Linked DNA regions of Caenorhabditis elegans. The protein of the gene in region 1 interacts with the protein of each later gene in a pairwise test. Each region holds a gene or a part of one and is shown on either strand. Other genes may lie near its edges.

Region 1 (3,148 bases):
ACTCAATCTTGAACCACTCTTCCCACCGCTCATCTCATAGTTGATCAACACTTGGTGCGCTAAAAATAAGATGAAAAAACACAAAAAATAGGAAAAATAAATTTGGAGTTTGAAAAATCCGTTTTGGCGGCCGAGGGACTAGAATTCATATTTCGGTCGTCTGTCAGTAGAGCGCAACTGTTCAGTTATCGGTTTTCTCTGCGTCTCTCGTTTCGTAATGTGTTCAAACTCAACGCGCTCTCCAGGTCTGCACAATTTTTCTTTTTATTCCTTTTTGGAGTTTTCCATTTATTTTAAACGTTTCCGATTAAAAATACATAAAATTATTGATTACAGGATAAGGAAACTTCGGAGAAAGCCATCGTATGTCGTTCGTCCCATCAGAAGTTCGACTTGATCACACATTTTTAGAGTGGGACAAAGAGTGGATATTCCAGCGTCTGCCAAAGGTTTGTGACAAGCTTTTCGAATAATTAAAGTGTAAAACCCGTAAGTATTGAAATTAAAATTATTCATTTTTAGACCGAGATTCAAATTCCGCGCGAGTTTGAGCCAGATATCGAAACCGACGCAATTCCCACCATTGCTCGTCAGCCCGCCGACCCAAACACTACCTGGAACGAGACTGGTTTGGATCAAATTCAAATGGGACCAACCATCAATAGTACAAAAAATTAAATCAAGGTTTGTGAAAGTTGATGTAATTTTTTAACTTCTTACACAAATTTTCAGATGGGAAACGAACAAAGCTCGTCAACAGCGGGCACATCATCTAATCCTCAAAATCAACAGTCGTCTTTTTCATTTCTCACTCGAGCCAGTACTAAACGATCAAAAGGCATTATCACGGTCAAAGATGGCAATATTCCTCAAGAAAAACTCGAAGATGATGAAATTTACAAAAGATTCACCGAAATTCCCCGTTTTTTGCCGGTGATTCCAGCCGTAATAGGCAAACGAGATCCACAAACGAATCAAGGAGCTTCTTACACTCATCAAAAAATCAGTTCGCGGCCCTTTTTTCGGTAAGATTTATTCCTTTTATTCAAAGTTTTAAAGTCACATATTCAGACTAGCAACACGATTACAAGAACATTTTGCCGTTAATGCGAAAGCAGTGGCAGCAGATCAAGCTAAAATTCCAGCAACTTGCAAGAGTGTTGAAGCGAAAATGATCAGACTTATTGAAGAAACAAGAGCTCATAAAGAACAACATGACGGTTTTATGGCTGCATTGAGCGGACTTAATCAATTGCACGATGACATCTGTAGTATTCAGGTGCGAATTAGAAAAAGAAACAATATTTAATGCATCATACCAAAATTGATTTTTAAAATGTTGCACCTTACATTTTTGCTCAAAAAACTTGCTCCGTTTATCAAAAATTAATTTTCAGATAATTCTTGAAGATATTGTGCCAATGGTTGAAACGCTTAATGAAATTCTAACTCCCGACGAACGTCTTCCTCCTCTTAATCTTGGCTCAGTGCTCGACAGATCTCCCGTTCCAAGCAGTGATAGCTCACTTCAAAGTACGCCCCGCCATAATCAAAATATTGGTCATATTGATCAAATTGAGCCGATTGAAGAAATCCGCGTAGTTGATCTACCAAAATAATTAATTTGTAAATTTTTATTCTCTTCTTGAATCTGTTGCCCTATCGCCCTTCCCAAAAAGTCTTGAAGGCTTTATCTCACTTTCTTCTCGCAATATCAAAATTCCATTGCCGTTTTGTGATTTTTTATTTAGTTCATGCACATATTTATCCGTCAATCCTATTTTGATTTCTAAATTTATCATAAATTCTAGTATTTTTCGCAAATTAATCTAATTAATTTACTTTGAATCTAACTTATATGGTTTGTGCCTTTTTCATATTTCCATTTCTTGTAATTAATTGCATCATTAATTAATTTTTAGATCACCAGCAATGAATGCGAGCTCCAGAACCAAACCTGCAATCGATTTGAACAAGGTAATATCTTAAAATCTCATCATAAAACTTTAAAGCTAAATTTTTTAAGGTTCCTCCGATCGATCATCACCGTACAGCAGTAACATTCAACTGTCTCATCATGAAAATGACAGAAATGCTCAATAATTTCGGAAATAAAATGGAAGACATTTTGGAAAAGGCAGAGCAGAGTTTAGACACTGCCGATCGAAAGTTACGCTTGATGGAATCGAAATTGGCAGGAATGAGTTTGGAGGATAAATCAACCACCGCCACACCATCATCAGCACCAGAAATAGACGAAATTCACGAATCGAATCCCAGCTCTTCACAAATCGTGGAGGAAACAGTGGAAGAGAAACCAGAAGAACATACTACGACGGTTCTTATCAAAGACGACCCGGCTTATAGTAAATATTTCAAAATGCTGAAATTGGTGAGTTTATCCACTTGAAATTGCTTTAATAATACTGTAATTTTTTTTAGGGAGTGCTTGAAGCTGGTGTAATACAGAAAATGAAATCCGAAGGCGTCGACCCATCAATTTTGAAACGCGGTGATGAACCATCTCGTCCACAGGCACAGACTTCACGGAATTATGAATCTTCTGGAGAATCTACGGCATCCTTCTCTGACTCTGATTAATTTATTTTTTGTATATTTTTACGGGTTCATAAAATGTATAAAACATTATTTTTTAATTTTCGGAATATGATGTACTACACTGTTAACTCGTTTTAACGATTATGATATACTTCTATTCATTTTTTTAAAATTGATATAATATACATACTAATTTCCCTTTCAGACAAAATGAAATCACATTCAAATGTAACTACGCCACAAGCAGAACTTGTGAGCCCAGCCATGGGTGAACTACTCAAAAATGCCATCATGAAATCTGTAAGTTATTAAATTAATATCACATGGAAACTTTATTTGAAATTTAGGCTCCTGTCGCTCTTGCACTTATGAAAGGTGAACGTCCTGGGAAGAAAAAGAAAAATAAAAGGGAAAAACAAGGTGAGCGACCGTTCGAATAAATGATTAGACTATCGGCAGTTTTTCAGAAGATGACGTGGAAGTTACACCAAAGTCGAAAGAGAAACGTCGGAAAAGCGAGAAGAAGGAAAAACCTCCAATTTTGAATTATTTGGACGATTCAGATTCTGATTCGGCAGATTTTTCATCA
Region 2 (8,138 bases), 7.9 Mb from region 1:
AAACGCGAAAAAATTTGAACATTTCCTAGAAAAACAGCAAAAAACTTTTAAAAAAACTGGAAAAAAAAACTGAAAATTTCAAAGAAAAAATCGAAAAAATTCTAAAAGTTTCAAAAAATACATCTTAAAAAATGCAAAAAAAACCAGACTTTTTTTAAAAGCCTAGGTACATTGATATTTCTGCCGAAAAATAGGAAATTTTAGACTTTACTGGGAAAAAGTCGTTAAAATGTGACTATTTTTTTTTTGGAATTTGTAGAGTTTTTTTTAGTTATGACACATTCGTGGAATATTTTAGAAACAAAGTTTTCCACGAATGTGTAATAACGAAATTCTGATGGTTTTTTCTCAGGAAATGGCTTGAAACATTGAAAAAAACCCCATTTTTTGTTATTACACATTCGCGGAATTTTCTAGGGAGAAAATTTCCACGAATGTGTAATAACGAAATTCTGATGGTTTTTTCTCAGGAAATGGCTTGAAAAATTGCAACCCAAAAAAAAAACGCTTATTTTGTTATTACACATTCGTGAGATATTTTAGAGAAAAAATTCTTACGAATGTGTAATAAGAAAATTCTAATGGCTATTTTCTTCGGAAATAGCTTGAAAAATTGCAAAAAACACGTCTTTTTGTTATTATACATTCGTAAAATTCTGAAGAGAGGAAATTTCCACGAAAGTGTAATAAAAAATTTCTACTATTTTTTTTTCTCCGAAACACGCTTGAAACATTGAAAAAAAACACCCTAATTTTTTGTTATTACACATTCGTGGAGTTTTTGACGGAGAAAATTTCCACGAATGTGTAATAAAAAAATTCTAATGGCTATTTTCTTCGGAAATAGCTTGAAAAATTGCAAAAAAAACTTATTTTTGTTATTACACATTCGTGGAAATTTTTGCGGGAGAAAATTTCCACGAATGTGTTATAACGAAATTCTAATGGCTATTTTCTCCGAAAGAGCTTCAAAATTGCAGAAAAATCAATCATTTTTGTTATTACACATTTGTGGAATTTTTTAGGGAGAAAATTTCCACGAATGTGTAATAACAAAATTCTGATGGCTTTTTCTCCGAAAGAGCTTCAAAATTACAAAAAATGCAATTTTGAGCACCGAAAAGCTTTTAAATTTTAGATTTTCAAATAATTTTTCTTTCGAATTTTCGGAGTATTTTAAATATTTTTCCGTCTTCGGAATTTTTTCCGATGATTCCATAATTTTTACGATTTTTTAAAAAATAATTTAAAATTTCAGAATATGTCAATATTTCTAGAAAAACAAAATCGATTTTTGAAACTTTTTGACTTTTGGGGTCCGCAAAAAGACCGGCTAGTTTTTATTACAAATTCTTTCAAAAAAAAAAAAAAGAAATATTTCACAAAAATTCACAAAACAAGTGTTTTTTGTTTGTTATCACACATTCGTGGAAATTTTCTTCCTAAAAAATTTCACAAACGTGTAATAACAACATTTTTTTGTTGTTGCAATTTTCAAGCTATTCCCGGAGAAAAACCATTAGAATTTTTTTATTACACATTCGTGGAAGTTTTCTCCCTAAACATTTCCACGAATGTGTAATAACAAAAAATGAGTGATTTTTTTGCAATTTTTCCAGCTATTATTTCAGAAGAAAATACTTGTGAAAAATTGCAAGTTTAAAAAATTTCAAAGAAAATGTCAATTCTCAACCCGTAAACAACCACATTTTTTGCAGATATTCTCCACACGTACTTCTCCATCGCCGCACTCTCACTGCTCGGCGAGCCCGCCGTCAATCCAGTTCATCCATCGCTCAACGTGTCGATGCGAGTAGCCGAACGTATTGCCAGACTTCAATTTGATTAATTTTTGCTTAAAAATTCCGTTTTTCTCGATTTTTTAACTTGAAAATCGCATTTTTTACTTTTTTTTCCAGTTTTTCCCGGATTTTTTCATTCAAAATATCCAATTTTCCCCCAAGCTTTCGCCAAAAAAAAATCTTCCAAAACTTGTACCAATCTAAGCTTTTCCCCCCCATAAATTATAAAATTTCTCCCATTTTTTCCAATTTTTTCGAAATTTTTCCAACTGTTCTAGCCAGTTTTACCATACTTCTACCACCTATTTTTAATATTTTTAGCCCGATTTTTTCCAGATTTTTCGGGTAACAAATGTACCATGTTCCGCTGATTCCACGCGACGCTGGCCGCGAGGAGACCATTTTTCGAATCAATCAGTCGTTGCAGAAGCTTCTGCGAGTTTCTGATGAGATTTTCGATCGGGTCGAGCACAGAATTACGAGGATTCATGGGAAGGCTGAGGCGATTGATAGAAGGACGGAGGTGTTGGAGAAGAAGCTTGAGAGCTTGCAGGAGGTACTGGAAATCGTGGAGAAGCTGAAAAAAAAATTGTAGAAATTTGAGGAAAAAAAATTAATTTTTTGTCTTTTCCCAGAAAATTTGGAAAAAAACCGGAATTTTCAAAATTTCACAAAAAGCTAATTAATGCTAATTTTTTTTTGAAAATTAAAGAAAATATTTTTGTAAAAAAAAGCAAAAAATATTTTTTTTTCAAAAAAAAAATTGTTTTTCAAATTTTTCAATATTAATCGAAAAAATAATTTAAATTGCAAATTTCGACGTAAAATTAAAAAAAATTGAATTTTTTAACATTAAAAAATGTTTGAAAAAACCGGAAATTCCAAAATTTCAAAAAATTGGAAATTGGAAAAAATACACGACTTTATTTCGAAAAAAAGTTTTTTAAAAACTGCTTTTTGAAAAAAAAAATCAAAATTCAATTTTCCCCTAGAAACTAGTTTTTTTTTTCGATTTTTTATTCAAAAAACTAAAAAAATTATTAAAATGTCGAAAACTCTATTAATCAAAAATTATATATTCTTTTCCCAAAAATTGGAAAAAATGCAATTTTTTCCCCAAAAAAAACGCCGGAAATTAGAAAGTTTCAAGAAAAAAAAAATTTCTTTTAAAAAATTGAAAATTCTATAACCTTTCGCCCAAAAATTGGAAAAAAAAACGAATTCTGTGAAAAAAAAAGCTCAAAATTTTTTTTAAAATAGAATTTAAAAAAATTTAAAGTCCAATTTTTTTCGCAAAAAAAATTATATTTCGGAAAAAAACCGAGAAAATTCAATGTTTTTACTCAAAAAAACTAGAAAAAATTCAAATCCGAGCAATTTTGCAGTCCGACAAAGTGATCACGTTCACCCTGCCCCGCCAACTTCCAAAACTCCCCGAAGAGCCCCCCACCTCAACATCTCTCTTCCGAATAAACATCGACACTGAGCATTTCCCGGGCTCCGAAGAGCTTCCAGCATTCCGCCGAGCCGATGATCATGTGCTCCGACCCTGTGAGCCCATCGACTTTACCTATGAGCTTAACAAACCCGACAAGTTCTTCCTGACGAGTCAAGTACTGAAAGAGTATGAGCAGAAGGGATGGGAACGGTACAAGAAGCGGCTGCTCGGAGGGCTCAGGGAGCTCTCCAGGAGCCCAGAGCACATCGCTGAGCTCTTCTACGCGGGCACCTCAATTCCAGCTTTCGAAGGTGTTTCTGGAGATTTCAGCAAGAAGGCTCTTGACGCGGATGATGATGGTGGGACATCTAGAAGTGGACGGACGACGGATGAGCTGGCTCAGCTTCGGCTCCACGAGCAACTGCTTGAGGATACGGCACTGAGCAGTACTCTAATGCAGGAAGATTCTTTGGATGATAATCATCCGTTGGCATTTCGGATTAATTTTAATGAGAAGAAGAAGAAGACGGCGAAAATGGTTGAGATGCCTGATAGTTTGCCTAATTTGAAAGGTGATTTTTGGAGCGGGGGGAATTGTGGAAAAAACAGGAAAAAAAAGAAAAAAAAAGAGAAAAAAAAACAGGAAAAAAAAGAGAAAAAAAAGATTTTTTCTTTTTTTTCTCTGTTTTCCTGTTTTTTTTCTCTTTAAAAAGAAAAGAGAAGAGAAAAAAAAGAGAAAAAAAAAACAGGAAAAAAAAGAAAAATCATTATTTTTTTTCTTTTTTTTTCATTTCTTTTTCTTTTTCAGGTGTTTTTTTTTGTCATTTTTTTTCGTTTTCGAGTTTTTTTTTTTTAATTTTTTTAAATGATTTAAATGAAAAAAAGAGAAAAAAACAGGGAAAAAAGAGAAAAAAGAGGAAAAAAGAGAAAAAAAAAGAAAAAAAAACAGGAAAAAAAAAGAAAAATCTTTATTTTTTTTCATTTCTTTTTCTTTTCCAGGTGTTTTTTTTTCATTTTTTTAAATGGTTTAAATGAAAAAAAAAAAAAAAAAAAAAAGGAAAAAAAAACAGAAAAAAAAGAAGAAATCTTTATTTTTTTCCGGTTTTTGTTTTCATTTCTTTTTCTTTTTCAGGTGTTTTTTTTCTTTTTTTTTCGTTTTCAAGCGTTTTTTTTTTCATTTTTTTAAATGGTTTAAATGAAAAAAAAGAGAAACAAAACAGGAAAAAAAGAGGAAAAAAAGAGAAAAAAGAGGAAAAAAAGAGAAAAAAAAGAAAAAAAAACAGGAAAAAAAAAGAACAATCTTTTTTTTTTTTCATTTCTTTTTCTTTTCCAGGTGTTTTTTTTGTCTTTTTTTTTTCGTTTTCAAGTGTTTTTTTTTTCATTTTTTTAAATGGTTTAAATGAAAAAAAGAGAAACAAAACAGGAAAAAAAGAGGAAAAAAAGAGAAAAAAGAGGAAAAAAAGAGAAAAAAAAGAAAAAAAAACAGGAAAAAAAAAGAACAATCTTTTTTTTTTTTCATTTCTTTTTCTTTTCCAGGTGTTTTTTTTGTCTTTTTTTTTTCGTTTTCAAGTGTTTTTTTTTTCATTTTTTTAAATGGTTTAAATGAAAAAAAGAGAAACAAAACAGGAAAAAAAGAGGAAAAAAAGAGAAAAAAGAGGAAAAAAAAGAGAAAAAAAAGAAAAAAAACAGGAAAAAAAAGAAAAAATCTTTATTTTTTTTCCTGTTTTTTTCACTTTTCTTCGTTTTCAAGTGTTTTTTTTTCATTTTTTTAAAATGATTTAAATGAAAAAAAAAGAGAAACAAAACAGGAAAAAAAGAGGAAAAAAAGAGAAAAAAGAGAAAAAAATGAAAAAAAAAGAAAAAAAAACAGGAAAAAAAAAGAAAAATCTTTTTTTTTTTTTCATTTCTTTTTCTTTTTCAGGTGTTTTTTTTTCTTTTTTTTTTCGTTTTCAAGTGTTTTTTTAATTTTTTTTAAATGATTTAAATGAAAAAAAAGAGAAACAAAACAGGAAAAAAAGAGGAAAAAAAGAGAAAAAAGAGGAAAAAAAAACAGAAAAAAAAAGAAGAAATCTTTATTTTTTTCCGGTTTTTGTTTTCATTTCTTTTTCTTTTTCAGGTGTTTTTTTTCTTTTTTTTTCGTTTTCAAGTGTTTTTTTTTCTTTTTTTTAAATGATTTAAATGAAAAAAAAGAGAAACAAAACAGGAAAAAAAAGAGGAAAAAAAGAGAAAAAAGAGGAAAAAAAAAGAGAAAAAAAAGAAAAAAAAACAGGAAAAAAAAGAAAAAATCTTTATTTTTTTTCCTGTTTTTTTCATTTTTCTTCGTTTTCAAGTGTTTTTTTTTTCATTTTTTTAAAATGATTTAAATGAAAAAAAAAGAGAAACAAAACAGGAAAAAAAGAGGAAAAAAAGAGAAAAAAGAGAAAAAAATGAAAAAAAAAGAAAAAATCTTTATTTTTTTCCTGTTTTTTTTTCATTTCTTTTTCTTTTTCAGGTGTTTTTTTGTCATTTTTTTTTCGTTTTCAAGTGTTTTTTTTTTCATTTTTTAAAATGATTTAAATGAAAAAAAAGAGAAACAAAACAGGAAAAAAAGAGAAAAAAAAAGAGAAAAAAGAGGAAAAAAATGAAAAAAAAATGAAAAAAAAACAGGAAAAAAAGAGAATTTGTGACGCTAAAATTGTTTGAAAATTAAAAAAAAGTTATTTTTCACAATTTTTCAGCGAAATTATGAACAAATTATTTTGTGTTAATTTTATAAATTTTTCAAAATTTTTCAGTATTTTTGAGTAAAAAAACGATATCCAGTTTTCAAGGAAAAACTGTAAAAAATCGAATTTTCGCCAAATTTAGCTTTTCAAAAAAAATATTGAAAAATTTCAAATTTTTGTGGAAAAATAGAAAAAAAAATGTTTTTTAATTTCATTTTTGCTCCAAAAAACTCGGGAATGTTAGGGGAAAATTTCCTTTGGAAAATTTCGTTAAAAAAATTTGAAATACCAAAATTTTCAGAGAAAAATCAAAAATCTTTTAAAAAATCCAAATTCCAGGCCACGCCCACGATTTCACTCTCCGCGACCCGGAAATCGATGAGGATCGGCTTCTAGACATCCTTCCAGCAGATGATCAGATTCCTGAAGCATCGGAGCCCACTGAAGCTGAAGCTGATGCTCCGACGACGTTCATTCTTCCACCACCACCACCACCGATGAAGCTTGATCCTTCTCCTCAGCCAGCTGCAACTCCAGTAGAGATCACAGAGATTCCTCCGATCATCTCACCTCCAGCACCACCACCGCCACCTCCACCACCGCCACCTCCACCTCCACCGCAGACCCCATCAGCAAGCTCCTCCGTAACCTTCAGCCCCACGAAATCCGTCGACGGAGGCCGTTCAGACTTGATGGCTGCGATCCGAGCAGCCGGTGGAGCTGGAAATGCGAAACTCAGCAGGATTGCCGAAAAGCCGAAGCGGAAGGGGAAATTCGATGGGATTCTTGAGTCGTCGGCTCTTCTCGGAGCATCGGAAACGCCGAGAAATTCAGCACCAGCTCCAGACGGCGGTGGTGGTGGTGGAGACTTGATGTCGGCATTGTCGAAGGCACTGGATGCACGAAGGAAGGCGATCAATGGGAAAGTGGAAGCCCAGCCGCCGGCCAAGGTTTCATCCACGATTCCGGCTCCACCGAATTTTGATGATGAGGAATGGGACTGAAATGGTTGATGGAAAATGACGGAAATTTTTGAAAAAAAACTGATTTTTTCTGCCTGAAATTGTAAAAAAATTGGAAAAAATCCGTTAAAAACTATGGGAATTCACGAATTTTTATTGAAAAAAAAACGTGAAATTTCAGAAAAAAAAAACAGATTTTTTTCGCCTAAAATTGTTTAAAAATTGGAAAAAATCCGTTAAAAATTATGGAAATTCCATGAAAAAAATTTTATTGAAAAAATCGAGAAATTTCTGTAAAAAACGGATTTTTCTGCCTGAATTTGTTTAAAAAATTGGAAAAAATGATGCAAATTCCACGAATTTTTATTGAAAAAATCGAGAAATTTCCGTCTAAAATTGATTAAATATATTCTAAAAAATTAAATTTTTCGAAGGAAAAACTAAATTTATATTATGAAAATTAGCTTCAAATGACGGAAATTCAAATTTCTAGGTTGAAAAATTTTGCAGATTAACGGAAAATTTCAGTTAAAAAATTCCGATTTTTTTCCAAGAATTTTCTCAGTTTGAAATTAACTTTTTTTTATTTTAAAAATGCCGAAAAACGTAAAAATTTCAGTTTTTTATTGGGCTTTTCCCAAATTTTAAATCGTAAAAACTGATGGAAATTCACATATTTTTATTGGAAAATTCTAGAAATCTCTGAAAAAAAAAACTGATTTTTTCGATTTTTTCTGCCTGAAATTGTGAAAAAAAATTGGAAAAAATCCGTTAAAAATGATGGAAAAAAATTCCATGAAATTCCATGAATTTTTGTTGAAAAATTCGAGAAATTTCCAGGAAATTTCCAATTTTTCGACTTTTTTTTTGAATTTTTTCAGGTTAAAATTGAAATTTTCGGTGGAATTCTATCAAAAAAATCGGGAAATAATTTTTTTCATCGCTAAAAAAAGTTGAAACAATTTATTTTTTTGACAATTTTTTCTTCAAAACCTCCCGAAATTTTTTTCCGATTTTTTAAATAATTAAATCTAAATTTTTCTATTTTTTAAGCCTTTTTTCACCATTTTCAGCTCCCAAAACTCTCGTTTTTCCCTATTTTTTCAAAATTTTAAAATTATATTTTTGCTCCCCTACTTGCCTGCCTGCCTGCCTACCTTTTTTCTGTGATTTTTCCATATTTTTTTCACTTTTTTTTCTGTGATTTTTTATCAATTTCCTTCCACCCGCT

What was found. The genes of interacting proteins can lie anywhere in the genome.
Region 2: the proteins of ddl-1 (region 1) and ddl-2 interact in binary tests that used the Caenorhabditis elegans proteins (3 or more experiments, as listed by UniProt).

Annotation. Positions count from the first base shown.
Region 1 is NC_003280.10:5,646,659-5,649,806, reverse strand, and holds ddl-1 (WASH complex subunit homolog 3), read left to right. Parts: upstream 1-1,922; 5' UTR 1,923-1,932; coding exon 1,933-1,977; intron 1,978-2,026; coding exon 2,027-2,392; intron 2,393-2,442; coding exon 2,443-2,601; 3' UTR 2,602-2,648; downstream 2,649-3,148. Other genes in the region: putative serine/threonine-protein kinase zyg-1, read right to left, coding at 1-33; F59E12.17 (Anaphase-promoting complex subunit 13), read left to right, coding at 366-449, 523-678; sam-4 (BLOC-1-related complex subunit 5), read left to right, coding at 733-1,025, 1,072-1,279, 1,398-1,619; F59E12.9 (TFIIS central domain-containing protein), read left to right, coding at 2,770-2,859, 2,907-2,979, 3,027-3,148. UniProt on the Caenorhabditis elegans protein: Acts as a component of the WASH core complex that functions as a nucleation-promoting factor (NPF) at the surface of endosomes, where it recruits and activates the Arp2/3 complex to induce actin polymerization, playing a key role in the fission of tubules that serve as transport intermediates during endosome sorting.
Region 2 is NC_003280.10:13,541,646-13,549,783, reverse strand, and holds the start of ddl-2 (WASH complex subunit homolog 1), read left to right. Parts: upstream 1-2,138; 5' UTR 2,139-2,154; coding exon 2,155-2,358; intron 2,359-3,187; coding exon 3,188-3,812; intron 3,813-6,284; coding exon 6,285-6,949; 3' UTR 6,950-8,138. UniProt on the Caenorhabditis elegans protein: Acts as a component of the WASH core complex that functions as a nucleation-promoting factor (NPF) at the surface of endosomes, where it recruits and activates the Arp2/3 complex to induce actin polymerization, playing a key role in the fission of tubules that serve as transport intermediates during endosome sorting.